3 linked regions of the Drosophila melanogaster genome follow. The protein of the gene in region 1 purifies or fractionates together with the protein of each later gene. This does not show direct contact. Each region holds a gene or a part of one and is shown in the gene's direction. Other genes may lie near its edges.

Region 1 (4,852 bases):
GCACACCCGAACTGGCCGGAGCGGGTACACCGGGATTGGCTTGTATGGCATAGACAGGCACAGAGTTGACAACATCACCACTGTCGCTCAGGCTGAGTGGCTCCTCCTTGATAATGACCTGCGGATGCGACACAATGGCGCCACCGTTGGCGTTCTTGTTTAGCTTGACGGTGAGTGGTGGCACCTTCAGCGCCACCTGGTCGCCGGCGAGATCCTGATCCTGCTGGTGATGGTGCACCTGCTGCTGTTGCGCCTGCTCCTGCATTTCACGCTGCTGCTGCTCCAGCAGTTCCTGCTGCTGCTGCTGCTGCTGTTGTTGTTGTTGGTGCTGTTGCTGATGGTGGTGCTCCGCCTGCAGTTGCTGCTGATGGTGCTGCTCCTCGGGCGTCAGTCTCATATCACGGGGCGCCATTGCCGGCAGCTGATCGTCGGGCGTCACCGCCGCCTCCTGCTGTTCCATAAAGCCCTGCTGTCCGGCAGCCAGCATGGCGGTGGTGCAAATGGAGCCGCACTGCGTGCATTTGTACTCGTTGGGCTGCTGGGTGGCCGAGTGGATGCCATAGATGCTGCACATAAGGCAGCGGGACAGGAAGGCGGGCGTCTGATGGGCCAGCCGATGGTGTTCGTCTAAATCGACGGCGTTGCCAAACTTTTCATCACAATTGAAGCAGGGGTGGCTGAGCTTGGGGTGCTGCTGTGCCTGCGGATGACCGCCGTCCAGCGTGGCAATGGCTCCCTGGGCGTTCAGCGTGATCCCGTGGCACAGCTGCATGTGATCCGCGACGTGCTGCGGTCGCTCAAACTGCTGGTGACACATGGGACAATAGTGCGGCGACACGTGCACATTGGGGTCCATGCTGAGATTGGGCAGAAAGGCTGTCTTCAGGGTGTCCATGTTGGCTATCACGGTGGCCACTTGGTGCGTGGGCGTGGCTGGGGCGGCGGTGGAGGTGGTGGCTGAGGAGGGGGGCGGCGGCGGCGGCGCTGGCGACTGATCCTCGGGGCGTGGCAGACGCTGTTCCTGTGGATTCGTGGTGGACTTTATCATTTCACTTCCGCTGGCGCTTGGAGAGTAATCGCTTCTTTTGGTTTGACTTGGTTAGTGGGCAGGAGCAGGAGCAATTGGCGGTTAAAGAAGGCGATATGCGCTGCAGGAGTAATAAAAATCATAATTACAGGCGGCCACAAGCGAATGTATGTGCAAGCGTGTGGGTGTGTGCTGGTGTGTATGTGTGTGTGTGTTCTTTGAGTCTGGCAGTCGCAAATTAGCAGGAACGAATTCGGAAATCACAAATTCACGAAATCTTCAGTCCCGATCTTCTGCATTTGACCCCCAATGTCCCCCCACAGCGGCTGGCGAAGAAGAGGAAGAAGGAGGAGGAGATGAAGAAGAAGAGGAGCGGGCAGCAGCAGCGGCAATGCGTTCGAATTGAAAATTTTTTTCAGTCTGTCATATTCTAAATTCGGAATTCTATTTTGATTGCTTTTTCGGTCTCTCGTTTTGTTTCCATCTTTCTTACCAGCGCACTGAATATTTACTGCACCTTGTTGTTGCTGGCGGCCGTTCGATTTTGTTGTATTTGGAGCGGGGGTCACGAAAATGCTGGGGCGGCCAATCAGTTTAATAACATTTTCTCCTTTGTACAACAAATAAACGTATATTAACAAAAAAAATTTTTCACTTTTATTATTATTTTTGGCGAAAAATGTACAACTACAACAAAAAGTATCGATTACTGGCATCGAAACTACGATGGCAACGTCGCTCTAGAACTGACGATGTGGCAACGCCCTTGCTAACGATATATTTTTCTGCCTTTTCCTAAAATATGACAAATAAAACGTTTTCTAAGTATGCAAATTAAAGTATAATATAACTTTAACTTAACGTTATAAAAATTGTAAGCAAAGCTTTCGATATTAGGAGTTCTTCTATTTCCAAATTTATCGGGTCTATCGTTCTGCGATAGCTCGATACTTTCATAAGCTGATAATTTCACAACAATTGGAAAAAGGATTGTTTGGAGAAATACAATAGAAATATTATTGCAACAAGGGTTGCAATTGGCTTCCCCTTATATTGGTCATCTATAGTGCCAAAACTGTCACTTGTCCTCCACCGCGGACATATCAGAGTCCACCTGCAACCCGCCGTTGGTCAGGATTTGGACAGAGGCTTGTTTGTAAACTGCCACAATTACCACCGATATAGAACTCGATCTTCTCAAGCCAAGTTCCAATAGGTTTGTGGAATCACAGCACCAAATTGTGATCTATATTGACTCTCTTTCGATTGTGCAGAATGTCGTCGCCATGGGTTAAGACCAGCGAGCCTGTGCAGCAGGTGAATCTGGCGGATATAATGTCGGAGCAATATGCCCACAAGTTGCACGACAAGGAGCTGCAGCGCCACACGGAGAAGCTGAAAAGACCGGACGAACAGATAGCACCCGTTTGGGGGTCGCAAGCCTCATCCCCGCCAGCGCCCAATGCGCAGAGTATCCAAAGTGATGCGGAGGATTGGGAGGATTACTCTGCGCTCCTCAATGACGAAGGAAACGTAGCGGAGGACATTCAGCTGCCGGAAGACAGCGATGCAGTTATTGCCCAGCTGTTGCAGTCCCAGTTCGATCACGAGTACAATGAGGAATTGCGTCGTATCGAGCGGCAGCAAAACAAGCAATCCAAGGTCACTGTTACCCTCAATAAGTTCCTACGTGATGGCGATGCAGAGTTCTTGCACGACACCGCGGAAGATGACTACGAAGAGGATGAATTGGAGCAACAGAAGCACGACTGGGATCGGTTCGAGGACAATGAACGGCAGCTTGACTCCATACCTCGCTGCGGCTTTAAAGTTAACAAGGAGGGCGAGATGATAACAAAGCACGATCCGCAGCTGTGCGCCGTGCGTAATGCCCAGCGCGTGATGTCCTTTCCGCCGGAGTTTCCCACCGGTGATGCTGCCGGTTTCGACATGAAGCTCTCCAATAAGGTTAGAAGCGGTCAGTTTTAAGCGATAATAAGACTTAAACGTACCTTTCAGGTGTTTAACCAACTACGAGCCCATTCTCGACGAGGCCGCTCCGACAAGCACGAGAAAGTGGCCACCGCGGAGATGGGATTGGATGCGGGTACACGTTTGCTGCTGTACAAGCTGATCAATAACCAAATACTGGAGCAGATCAACGGCATTATATCCACGGGCAAGGAGGCGGTCATCTTGCACGCCAATTCCGATGCGAACTATACGGGCAGCAACGAGCATGGTCACCAGAGTGGTGTGCTCGTTCCACCGCAGCTTTTGCCCCGGGAGTGTGCCATTAAAATCTTTAAAACCACGCTCAACGAGTTCAAGCAGCGCGATAGATACATCAAGGATGACTATCGGTTCAAGGATCGCTTTAGCAAACAAAACCACCGAGTGATTATCAATATGTGGGCCGAGAAGGAGATGCATAATCTGATGAGGATGCAAGCCATTGGCCTAAACGTTCCAGACGTTGTTGTGCTGAAGAAGCACGTGCTGGTAATGCGGTTCATCGGTGACAATCATAACGCTGCGCCCAAGTTAAAGGATGCCCGTCTGAGCGACGCGGAGCTGAGTTGCGCCTACGAAGAGATTGTGGCCGCGATGCACAAGTTGTACAATGAGGCGAAGCTGGTGCACGCCGATATGAGCGAATATAACATACTCTGGTTCGAGGGCAAGTGCTGGTTTATTGACGTGGCCCAGAGTGTCGAACCGAAGCATCCCAGTGCCCTGGAGTTCCTGATGAGGGATTGCGGCAACATTGTTAACTTCTTTGAACGACGCGGCCTGCCCAACATTTACACCAAGGAGCAGTTGTTCGAGTTTATTACGGGTCTCAATTCAGAGGTCCACACCGCCGCTCAGCTGGAGCAGATCCACACGCGTGGCGCTTCCATTAGCCAAGCCACTGCTCCGAATCAGGAGGAGTGCCCCGACGAACTGAAACCCTTGGAGTATCCCTTTGAGCTGGCCTGGGAAAAATCACAACAAGATCGCGCTGCTCAAAAGGCTCTGCAGCAAGCGCAGGATAATAACGATAACAAAACCGACACGGATAAGGATCAAGAGACCGATGACAATGAGAATGATAGTGACGACAAGGAAAAGATTAACAAAACTGCCAACCATTGAAACTTCTAAAGTGTGGACTCATTTAGTTTAGTTTTAAATTGATATTAACAGTTTGGTCACAGAGATTCCATAGTAAAAGATATGATGCTTGTAGTCAAGTAACTTGACTATAAAATATCCCTCGAAAAAAAGAATAAATTGTTTTGTTTTTCCACCCATGGAAACCTTTGCTTTGTATTTTAGAACTTATTTAAAATATTTTTTGGGTAACCTTCAACTCTTTTTTTTGTAGTGCGCTCCAATTTGCATTTGTTGCACTCATGTTGTTACGGATATTTCTCCTAATGGCTTTGATCTTGAATCGTTATTAATCAATTAAGATTAATGCAAATGTCAGGCTTCAATGGCCACACGCCCATCTTCCGAATCAGCTAACCCGACAATTGAACTCATTTGGTGCGCAGTTTTCCCCATTAATTGGGAGATTTGTCGGTTCAATCGAATCTCCGATCAGATGATTACGTATAAAAATGCCATACCCAGTGCACACGATTCTGGGTTGTCGATCTGACGGAACTAGTACATCTATCTGTCCGAGAATAGTCTGGATGCGTTTGCGAAACTGGACTTTGCAAAATATTGTAGTTCAAGTGTGACGTCAGAATCCAGTTGCGAGCAGTTCAGTGCGTATACATATATGTATATTGTAAATGATTCTGTTGCGTTCAGTATAGCTAGAGATTCAAA
Region 2 (4,623 bases), on another chromosome or scaffold:
GTACCACTTCGGGTTTCTCCATCGTGCTACCTTTGAGTGCCCGGTGTGCATATGTATCGAAGCCACAGCTACGCGCCAGTTCATGCCGGCAAAGCAGTAGGTCTCGGAGAAGATCCTCCTGGCTCTTTGACGGCTGCAGGTACAACCGGTAGGCAGCCTCCCGCATCTGAACGTTCTCTGCGTTTGTGCACAGTCCAGTGATAATTACATTTTCCCCAGAGGTAGGAAAGCTGACAAAAAAAAATCTTTAGTATAGCCCAGATAGTGTTATATGTGAACTTACTAGTTACGAAAGGACTCAGGGACTTGGCTGCGTGGAAGAACACTAGGTTGCACAGCTCCACTCATGAACTTCTGGCCGAGCTGAAGAATATAGTCATTTAGCCGCACAACACGCATACGTTCCTCCTCGGGCAAGTGAATTCCACACTGCTCAAAGTCGAAAAGGAACAAACGCGACACATGTCTGTCCACTTCGCTGGTGGGCAGCTTATCTCCATGATCCACTACGTGGCTTAAAGCCTTATAGATGGGCTTATGCGTGTTAAGGCTCTCGACCATTCCGCAAATGCTTATGCAGGCCTGCTCTGCTGCTTGGGTGTATCTGCTCTGAGGATGCGCGATACGAACAAACTCTGCGAGGTCCGCCACCTTGCACAATGAGTCAGAAAGCTCGTCAAAAATGTCGACCATCTTTCGACGTCGTTGATCGGAGGTGGCCTCGGAGATCAGCTCCTGCGTCCGGCTTTCCACATTGTCTCGAAGGAGATAGAAGCCCTCAAAACTCCGCAGTTCGGGCATGCCAAAGAGGCCCTACGGGAAAAAGGCCATGTATGCCTAGTCAGAGGTCCTGCGTTTTACAGACTTTGGGTCTTACAACATCGTCGTGGGTGAAGTTGATCCGCCTAGCCGGTGGCGCATTAAACGCCGTAGCCAGCGGCGTCCACGTAGAGACTCTGCGACTGCAGTGCCGCGTTCTCCAGCGCAGCAATGTTCGACCAAATTCTAGCATGGCACTTCCCCAATTTCGGATCACTTAAATTGCTTGTTTATAACGAAATGGTTACATGAGAAGTCAGCTGCCGGTGAAGTCAACCCGATGTTGCCAGACGTTTTGCTTTTCGATTACAGACATCAATTAACTGCATGTGCAGCTGTATAGAGTTGAGTTGTGTTAACAGTATTTTTCTAAAGCTGTCACCAGTTTAACTAGGATTAGTTTAGATATTACAGAAAAATAAATGTTAATTAAGCTTAAGCGAGTCCTATTTTAGGAATACAAAAAGAATAATATTCCTATTAAGACTGAGTTGCAGGGTATCCCGAAAATGATGTTATTTGATAAATATTTACAAGCAAAAACCCAATTTTATTTGTAAATAAATATAATTATAAAAAAAGCTGTTATACGTAATATGTAAGTCTTCGTTTAACTTGAGGTACAGATATACAACTGATTATGATTTACATCACATATAATAAGTGATATATTGGTATTTTTGAAACCCGTATAATATAATTTATCGATAGTTGATATTTGCGATATTGTCATTCTTGTCCATCCCTATCCAGCATCTCGTTCCGCGCGTGGCTCGTTTGCCGGCACGATGGATTCTATTCTTTGCATGATTTTGCTGATTTTGGTAAGAAATCATGCTTCTGAGGCAGCTAGGTTGAACCACCCGCGTGTGTTACTACCAATATTCGAAGACAAGGCAATAAACTTTACCCTGGAAGTCGACGAGCCGAACTGCTACAAATGGTAAATCGGCGTCATACAGATATAATTTTATAACTTCTAGAACTACTACTACTACTATGCTGAACTTGCAGGTCGTCCTCACGCCAGGACTTGATATCTGTCATGCCCATTTACAAGGGCTTCAGCGAATGTGCATACCAGGCGGTGGTGACAGTCCGCACTCACGATCGTCGGAGGAACACTGCAATCGTCTTCGCCGAGGAAGTACAAACGGGCGAGACGCTGCGTTCCGACGTGATTGTGGATGTCATTGCTAGTCTAAATGTGCGCACCGCCACTCGACAACTTTACCTGGAGGAGGCGCCCGCCATGTTCGAGCTGCACGCCTTTGATGAACAAGGCAACGAGTTTTTTACCTTGGAGGGAATCGAGTTTGACTGGGAGATTTTGGAACCCGGTAGCAAAAGGCCCACCGCAATGCGATACCTCACGTTCACGGACAGTCCGTACCACACTGTACCGCCCACCATTGAAAAGTTTGAAGCCGACGGCAAGAAGGGGCACATGATCCTCCTTGAGGGCATTAATACTGGCACCGCCAAGGTGACCATCGCCATGCCTCAGGCCGAGTACAAGCATGTGCGGCCAGTTGAGGTGTACATCAGCGTTCTTGCAAACATTATAATTGAGCCTTCCGAAGTCACCATAATGGCTGGAGACTCCGTCTCATTTCGCATTCTGCAGCTGAAGATGGACCGACTGCACGTTATAGACAACAATCAGTATTATTTGGAGGTGGAGGACTCCAGCATTGCATACCTTCGTGGAAACAGTGCCACCGGAGCGGCTCTGGGTCGCACCCAGGTCTTTCTGCGAGACCGCAACATGGCGGACTCTGATGAGGTCCAAAAGGGACCCAGCGCTCTATTGACTGTGGCATATCCGAATAGGTTGTCCATCAGTCTGTTGCCCCATCTCAATTGGGTGACAGTACAAGGCGAGCATCACGCTATAGCATTGGATCTTTTTGCTGCCGACGGTCAGAAGATCACAATGGGCACTAAATATTCAATCAACTCAGAGGTGGATGAATCCTTTTTCGCCATTGTTGATCGTACTCGCAACGGAAGCCGCCTTTTCGGTCAAGCAAAAAAAGAGGGAATCACTCAGGTGTATGGCTCATATAAAGACGTAAGTTTATAACTAAAATGTTTGTTATATATATTACTCTAGAAAATATGTGCATAGATATAACCCATTAAAAAGAATCGCGGTATTATCATATAATTAGGCGTTTGTCCACTTCTAAAAACTAAATATTATCTAACAAAAAAAAAGCCATTAATTAAAATTTGTTTTTATTGCTTGCCGACCGCTAAAAATAATTCATTTCGTTTGCCCACCTCTTTTATAACGAAGTAAATAAAATATTAAATAAGTCAAATAAATATCTATTTTTATAAAGTCAACCGCAGTGATATGTAGAATTTTAAATTGTTTGCATTTTTTATAGAAGGTTAACTCAAAATAATAGTCCAAAAGTCTATTTGTTATATTAAAAGTTCTTATAATATTGTTATTTATGTTGCAGCTGTCGGTACAAGCTGAGCTTCAGATATTTGAGGAGCTTCAGTTAGCGCCAACCAAGGTGGTGTTGCCATACGATCCTAACAGCTTAAAACCTTTAAAGCTGCAGTTTCATGCATCTGGCGGAGATAACAACTACGCTTGGTTCTCCGGAAATCCACAGGTGATCCAGATTGACACCCAGGGCCAAGCCACAACTGAAATCCGCGACGTGAAATCCGCTTACGTGAACCAGGAGGTACTGAAAGATGGTGGTAAACTGACCGCCCACACCACCGTCAAGGTGGCTCTATCCAAGAACCAGAAAATTTCCCGTGTGGCACATATCTACTTTCTCCCCCCTGAGCGCCTTCAGATCACGCGGAGCAACTTTGAGACCGCCCTGAAGGACTTCGTACACGTGCATGTGGGCGTATACGCTCGAATAAATAATTCAGAGGTTCCCTACACAAGTTGTGATAATCTTCACTTCCAACTAGACTTCAGCCAGCCCATTCTGCAGTTGGAGGGTAATGAAGGGGCGGAGGCTGCTCACGAGGCGTGTCATGTGCTTCGGTTGCGGGCCACCGCTGTGGGCACCACCTCGCTACGCGTTTCCTATATGTATATGGACAAAGTGCTTTACGACATTATTGATTTGTATGTCTTTGAGCCATTAGTCGTGCTAAATCCAATAGAAAACGAGGTTGTTCTTCCCGTTGGGTCATCCCGTAATATAATTTATGCTAATGGGCCGCAGCGCAGTTTTACGGTGGCAGCAGAAATCATACAATCTACCGCTTTTGATGAAAAAATATTAAAAGTGTCTAAATTAGAGTTCGACACGCAAAATTTGATAACTGCGTTCACCGTGCTGTGTCGTGAGCTGGGCGAGACGCAGTTCACTTACCGAGTGCATAATAGCCTTCCCACCTCAAGCTTTGCCTTATATCAATCGGAGGTGACCACAAAGGTGCATTGCGTCCGTCCTCGCTTCCTAAAGCTCTACGCTCGCCATAACCTGCGTGACTCCTGCCCCCTGGAGAAGCGCACCTCGTTATTATTCCTGAAAGATCCAGAGAATAAAATTGAAATTGAAATCGAGGTACACGATTCAAATAATCGTAGGCTCATGAATATCAGCTCACTAGGGCTTGACTGGGAGTTTTCCGCTGGTGAAGAGCGATACCAGAAGAACATTATCCCGCACCGTCAGATTTCTGAATTGGAGTTCAATCATGGAGTTACCCTGCCGAGTCGCGACCTTCTTGTCTTGACATTGAGTGAAGTGGCGACCAACTTCCGCATTAAGGGAACGGTGTCCCAGTATAACGACAAGCTACTTGCCCAACACG
Region 3 (3,913 bases), on another chromosome or scaffold:
ATCTATGACCACTTTCATTAAAGGCATGGCTCTAGCGGCCCCTTTGGTACCCTATGTCCGATGAAACATCAGCCGAGTTCAGTATTTAAGTTTTTAGAAATTCATTTTTTTATTGCATTCATGGTGGTAACTAATAATTAATAGCAATATTTATAAGTAATAATAGGTAAGTAATAAATTAAATAAGTAAATAAATGAATGCAAACTAAAGTAAGATGAGGAAATATAAGGCAGTAGGTGTTAGTTTTTGCCGTAAATTCAAGAAAAATTTTATAAAAGGTATTCAAGAAAATTGTCATTAAATGGATGCGACACAGGTTGCTAAATATATTTTAGAGGAGAACCAAATTATTTATTTAAATTATCCCATAAACTTATGGTAACTTATGGTAAAGCCTTCTAATATATGATTTAAAAATATAACCTAATTTTTCTCAGTGCAGAATGGCGGTTCGGAGATTTTGAATTTTTCCGATGTAGGTTTAGGTCAGGAAGGGTTCATCCAGCATTATTTTATATACTATGTACATATATATTTCAAATTTGTATATGTTCACTTCATCAGGAACTTCTCACTGTGTAACCTAACTTAACCCAACTGTGCGCTTAACCTAACTGTACGGTTCTATTTTAATTAATACATTTTCTGTGTGCTGCTTCTTATCCTCTTCGGAATTTTCGATGGGAAAAAGTTAGAACCTTCGCGTCTACTAACAGATTACTTTTCGCCCCGATATCCACTAACCTGTGGCTGCCCCAGTCGAAACTTGGGGTCTGGGCGGTGGCGCCCATTATCCTGCTGCATAATAATGCTAATTCCTAAAGTTTGTCTATCCCGGGAGCTGTATTGTTTTACAGCTTTAGTGTTAAACCTACAGATTCTCAGAGAACAGATGGCTACTCATTCGTTGACTAGAAGGGAGGGCGGAGGGCCTTTGCTGAGAGACTCTCAAAATTGAAAGTTTTACCTGGTTCGTCGTAAAACTTTTTTTGTTTTGAGTTCAAATTAATGTTTTATAAATGAAATAATAAATAACTAAATAATAATAATAAATAAATAATAAATAAATAAGCTTATATAATAAGATCCATTTTAATTGTTTTTTCATAAAACAAAATGAGTGATTTTTTTTATAATTACAAATGAAACACTTGAATTACCGAAACAAAAACGCTTAACTGTGCCATCACTAATACTTATTGGCAATAAATAAGTGCGATTTTATGACAACAAAGACGTATCGATAAGATGCATGTGCAAAATGCGGTGTGTGTATTAACTTAATACTTGGCCTAAGGCTTATCGATAAGGATATCGATACTAAAAAGTCCGGCACCATTGTCGCTATCGAATGCCCAAGTATACAAGACAAGCTATGAGAACGAATATAAGGTGGTCAGTTTTAAGTAATTCAAAAAATTCTAAGTCAAAATGTGTCGCAAGTGTAGTTACTTGATTTAATCGCGAAATTTACTCGTGGATTATGTCTTAAGATAATATCGATATATTGCCGGCGTCATCGATTGCTGACACATATCGAAAGGTCCGGCCACACTGCTCACCGTCTTCTTCTTGTCATCCCTTCCGTTTCCCTTTCTTTTCGTCTTCACGTTTCCGGTGAGTGCGTGTGCTCCGCGAATTTTTAAGCAAAACTCCCTATTAAATACCTCCAATTCTCTTTTTTACTTGCAGCGGGAGTATTACGATACGTTCGCGTTCGTGTAACTTTGTGTTTGCAAATCAATCCAGGTAATTGTCGCCGAAAACCCCCATTTTCAAGCGGCCGCACCGGGAAAATATGCGCCCAATGTTGTTCCCGAATGCATGTGTACATTTTTTTTTTGTGTGGACAAAGAAGCGAGTCTTTCAGACTCAATAAACAATGTGTGAATTGGATACCACATGGATGATCTGTAGATATATCCTGGCAATGAACCGAATCTAATTGCTATTTTTTTTTTTTGTTGTTTGTGCAGAATGTTTATGCCAAAGGCCCATCGTGTCGCGATCTACGAGTACCTCTTCAAGGAGGGCGTGATCGTGGCCAAGAAGGATTTCCATGCCCAGAAGCACCCGGAACTGGAGTCGATCCCCAACTTGCACGTGATCAAGGCGATGCAGTCGCTCCACTCGCGCGGACTGGTTAAGGAGCAGTTCGCCTGGCGCCACTACTACTGGTACCTCACCAACGAGGGAATCGAGGAGCTGCGCAGCTACCTCCACCTGCCGCCCGAGATCGTGCCCTCGACGCTGAAGCGCCCTGCCCGCTCGGAGACCGTCCGTCCCCGTCCCGCCGTTGGCGGCCCACGCGGACCCGGTGACGCCTCCAAGACCGGAGAGGATCGCTCCGCCTACCGACGTGCTCCCGGCGGCAGCGGAGTGGACAAGAAGGGCGATGTTGGACCCGGTGCCGGAGAGGTCGAGTTCCGTGGCGGATTCGGACGCGGATCGCGCAACTAAACAACCCAGGCGCTTCAGTTTTTTTTTCTAATGTATAAAAAATTACTCAGTAAAATGTTCAACTGAAGATCCATACCCTTAACAATAGAAGAAACCAACATCTGAAAAATGTGTGTGTGTTTTATGATATGACGATCAATTATAAAGCAAACGCAAGTGAAATTCCGTGCTCCCCTCTATTTTTTTTTTTTGTTTTGTTTTTGTTGTTTGGTCCAGTGATTGTGGTGTGCAAATCGGACGTGGATTCAGATCCCAAGCGTGGCTAAATAGTATAGTAAACCCGATGCCCGGCCAAACTGAAACTGCTAACCCAACACATTTTTGCAAGAAGCTCTTCAGATAACTTTAGAAGTAGGATTTTGCAGATAATTCAGTTTATTTTGCGAGGTTCTGTCGAGAGGAAAGAAGGAATTCTAGCGTAAATACGTTTTTTTGAATACAATACATGCATTCAATTTTGGTAATTTCAAAAGATTGTTGTATATAGATTTGGATATTTGTCGATTTGTAGCTCTTTATTATAAAAATATGTGCAGAAATTCATCGCATTCGTTTATAGCTGTGTGCCAAAACATAGTAGACTTGGGTTGGAATAAACCAGTTGGCTCGAAATACTACATTCAAATATTTAAATAACATTAGAATCCAATTGCTCATAACAAAAACGGCATGAATTGCAAGGACATAGATTAAATTTGATTTACCATCAAAGGAAATGGTATATTTTCTAAACGATAAGCCAAAATCTTCGTATGTGGAGGAACGTAACTTAAATGCTCAATTTCGTTTTATTTGTTCACGCTACTTAAACGTTCACAATTAGTTAAATAACTAGTTTACTTAAATAGTCTTCTTTTGCTCACGAGCATCCTTTTGTTGTTCTGTAGCTGCCTTTTACTTATATATTAATTCTAATTTTATAAATACACTAGTTTCACATTTCCCAAAGTTAGGTTTTAGTTAAATCTTATGTGTCTACTAATATTATTTAAAAGCTTATGTGCTTCTCCATTTAACGTTGATTACTTTCAACTAATATTTTATGTAAACAAGTAAGTATGCTGCTATGCTCGGACCATAAAGAATTCGAATCGCTTAGATTATTTATTTAGGCCGACCAAAAGAACTACAACAATATACGACGAATGGCATTATTCTAGGTTTATGCCATGGCACATCGGAGTAGAAACATGGTTTGGGTAGTTAAGGTTATGTACATTCCTCCATTTAGCATAAATCCGAAGATACCTGGAGACTATCATTGCCTTAACATGGTTAAAAGAAGCTGGTTATGGACCTATGTTTCCCGCAAAAACGTTCTGCGCATCGCAACTGGGGCGCACTGCGCTGGAAAGTGTATTCGCTTGCAACAATAAAAAAAAAATCGCTTTGTATACAAAATAATTGTGGTTTCATTATTTACAATGTGCAATACTCGTTTAGAAAAATGTA

The links. The genes of interacting proteins can lie anywhere in the genome.
Region 2: the proteins of CG3008 (region 1) and Gp210 purify together in Drosophila melanogaster (affinity purification with mass spectrometry, with the first as the bait; one large-scale study listed by BioGRID). This does not show direct contact.
Region 3: the proteins of CG3008 (region 1) and RpS10b purify together in Drosophila melanogaster (affinity purification with mass spectrometry, with the first as the bait; one large-scale study listed by BioGRID). This does not show direct contact.

Annotation. Positions count from the first base shown.
Region 1 is NT_033779.5:4,881,345-4,886,196, forward strand, and holds CG3008 (uncharacterized protein), read left to right. Parts: upstream 1-1,953; 5' UTR 1,954-2,243; intron 2,244-2,301; 5' UTR 2,302-2,302; coding exon 2,303-2,995; intron 2,996-3,046; coding exon 3,047-4,165; 3' UTR 4,166-4,325; downstream 4,326-4,852. Other genes in the region: Cf2 (chorion factor 2), read right to left, coding at 1-1,048.
Region 2 is NT_033778.4:5,759,301-5,763,923, forward strand, and holds the start of Gp210 (glycoprotein 210 kDa), read left to right. Parts: upstream 1-1,561; 5' UTR 1,562-1,607; coding exon 1,608-1,762; intron 1,763-1,833; coding exon 1,834-2,893; intron 2,894-3,293; coding exon 3,294-4,623. Other genes in the region: CG7791 (uncharacterized protein), read right to left, coding at 1-230, 284-813, 878-1,012.
Region 3 is NC_004354.4:19,596,456-19,600,368, forward strand, and holds RpS10b (ribosomal protein S10b), read left to right. Parts: upstream 1-1,584; 5' UTR 1,585-1,622; exon of another isoform or gene 1,623-1,693; 5' UTR 1,694-1,750; intron 1,751-1,969; exon of another isoform or gene 1,970-1,977; 5' UTR 1,978-1,978; coding exon 1,979-2,461; 3' UTR 2,462-3,351; downstream 3,352-3,913.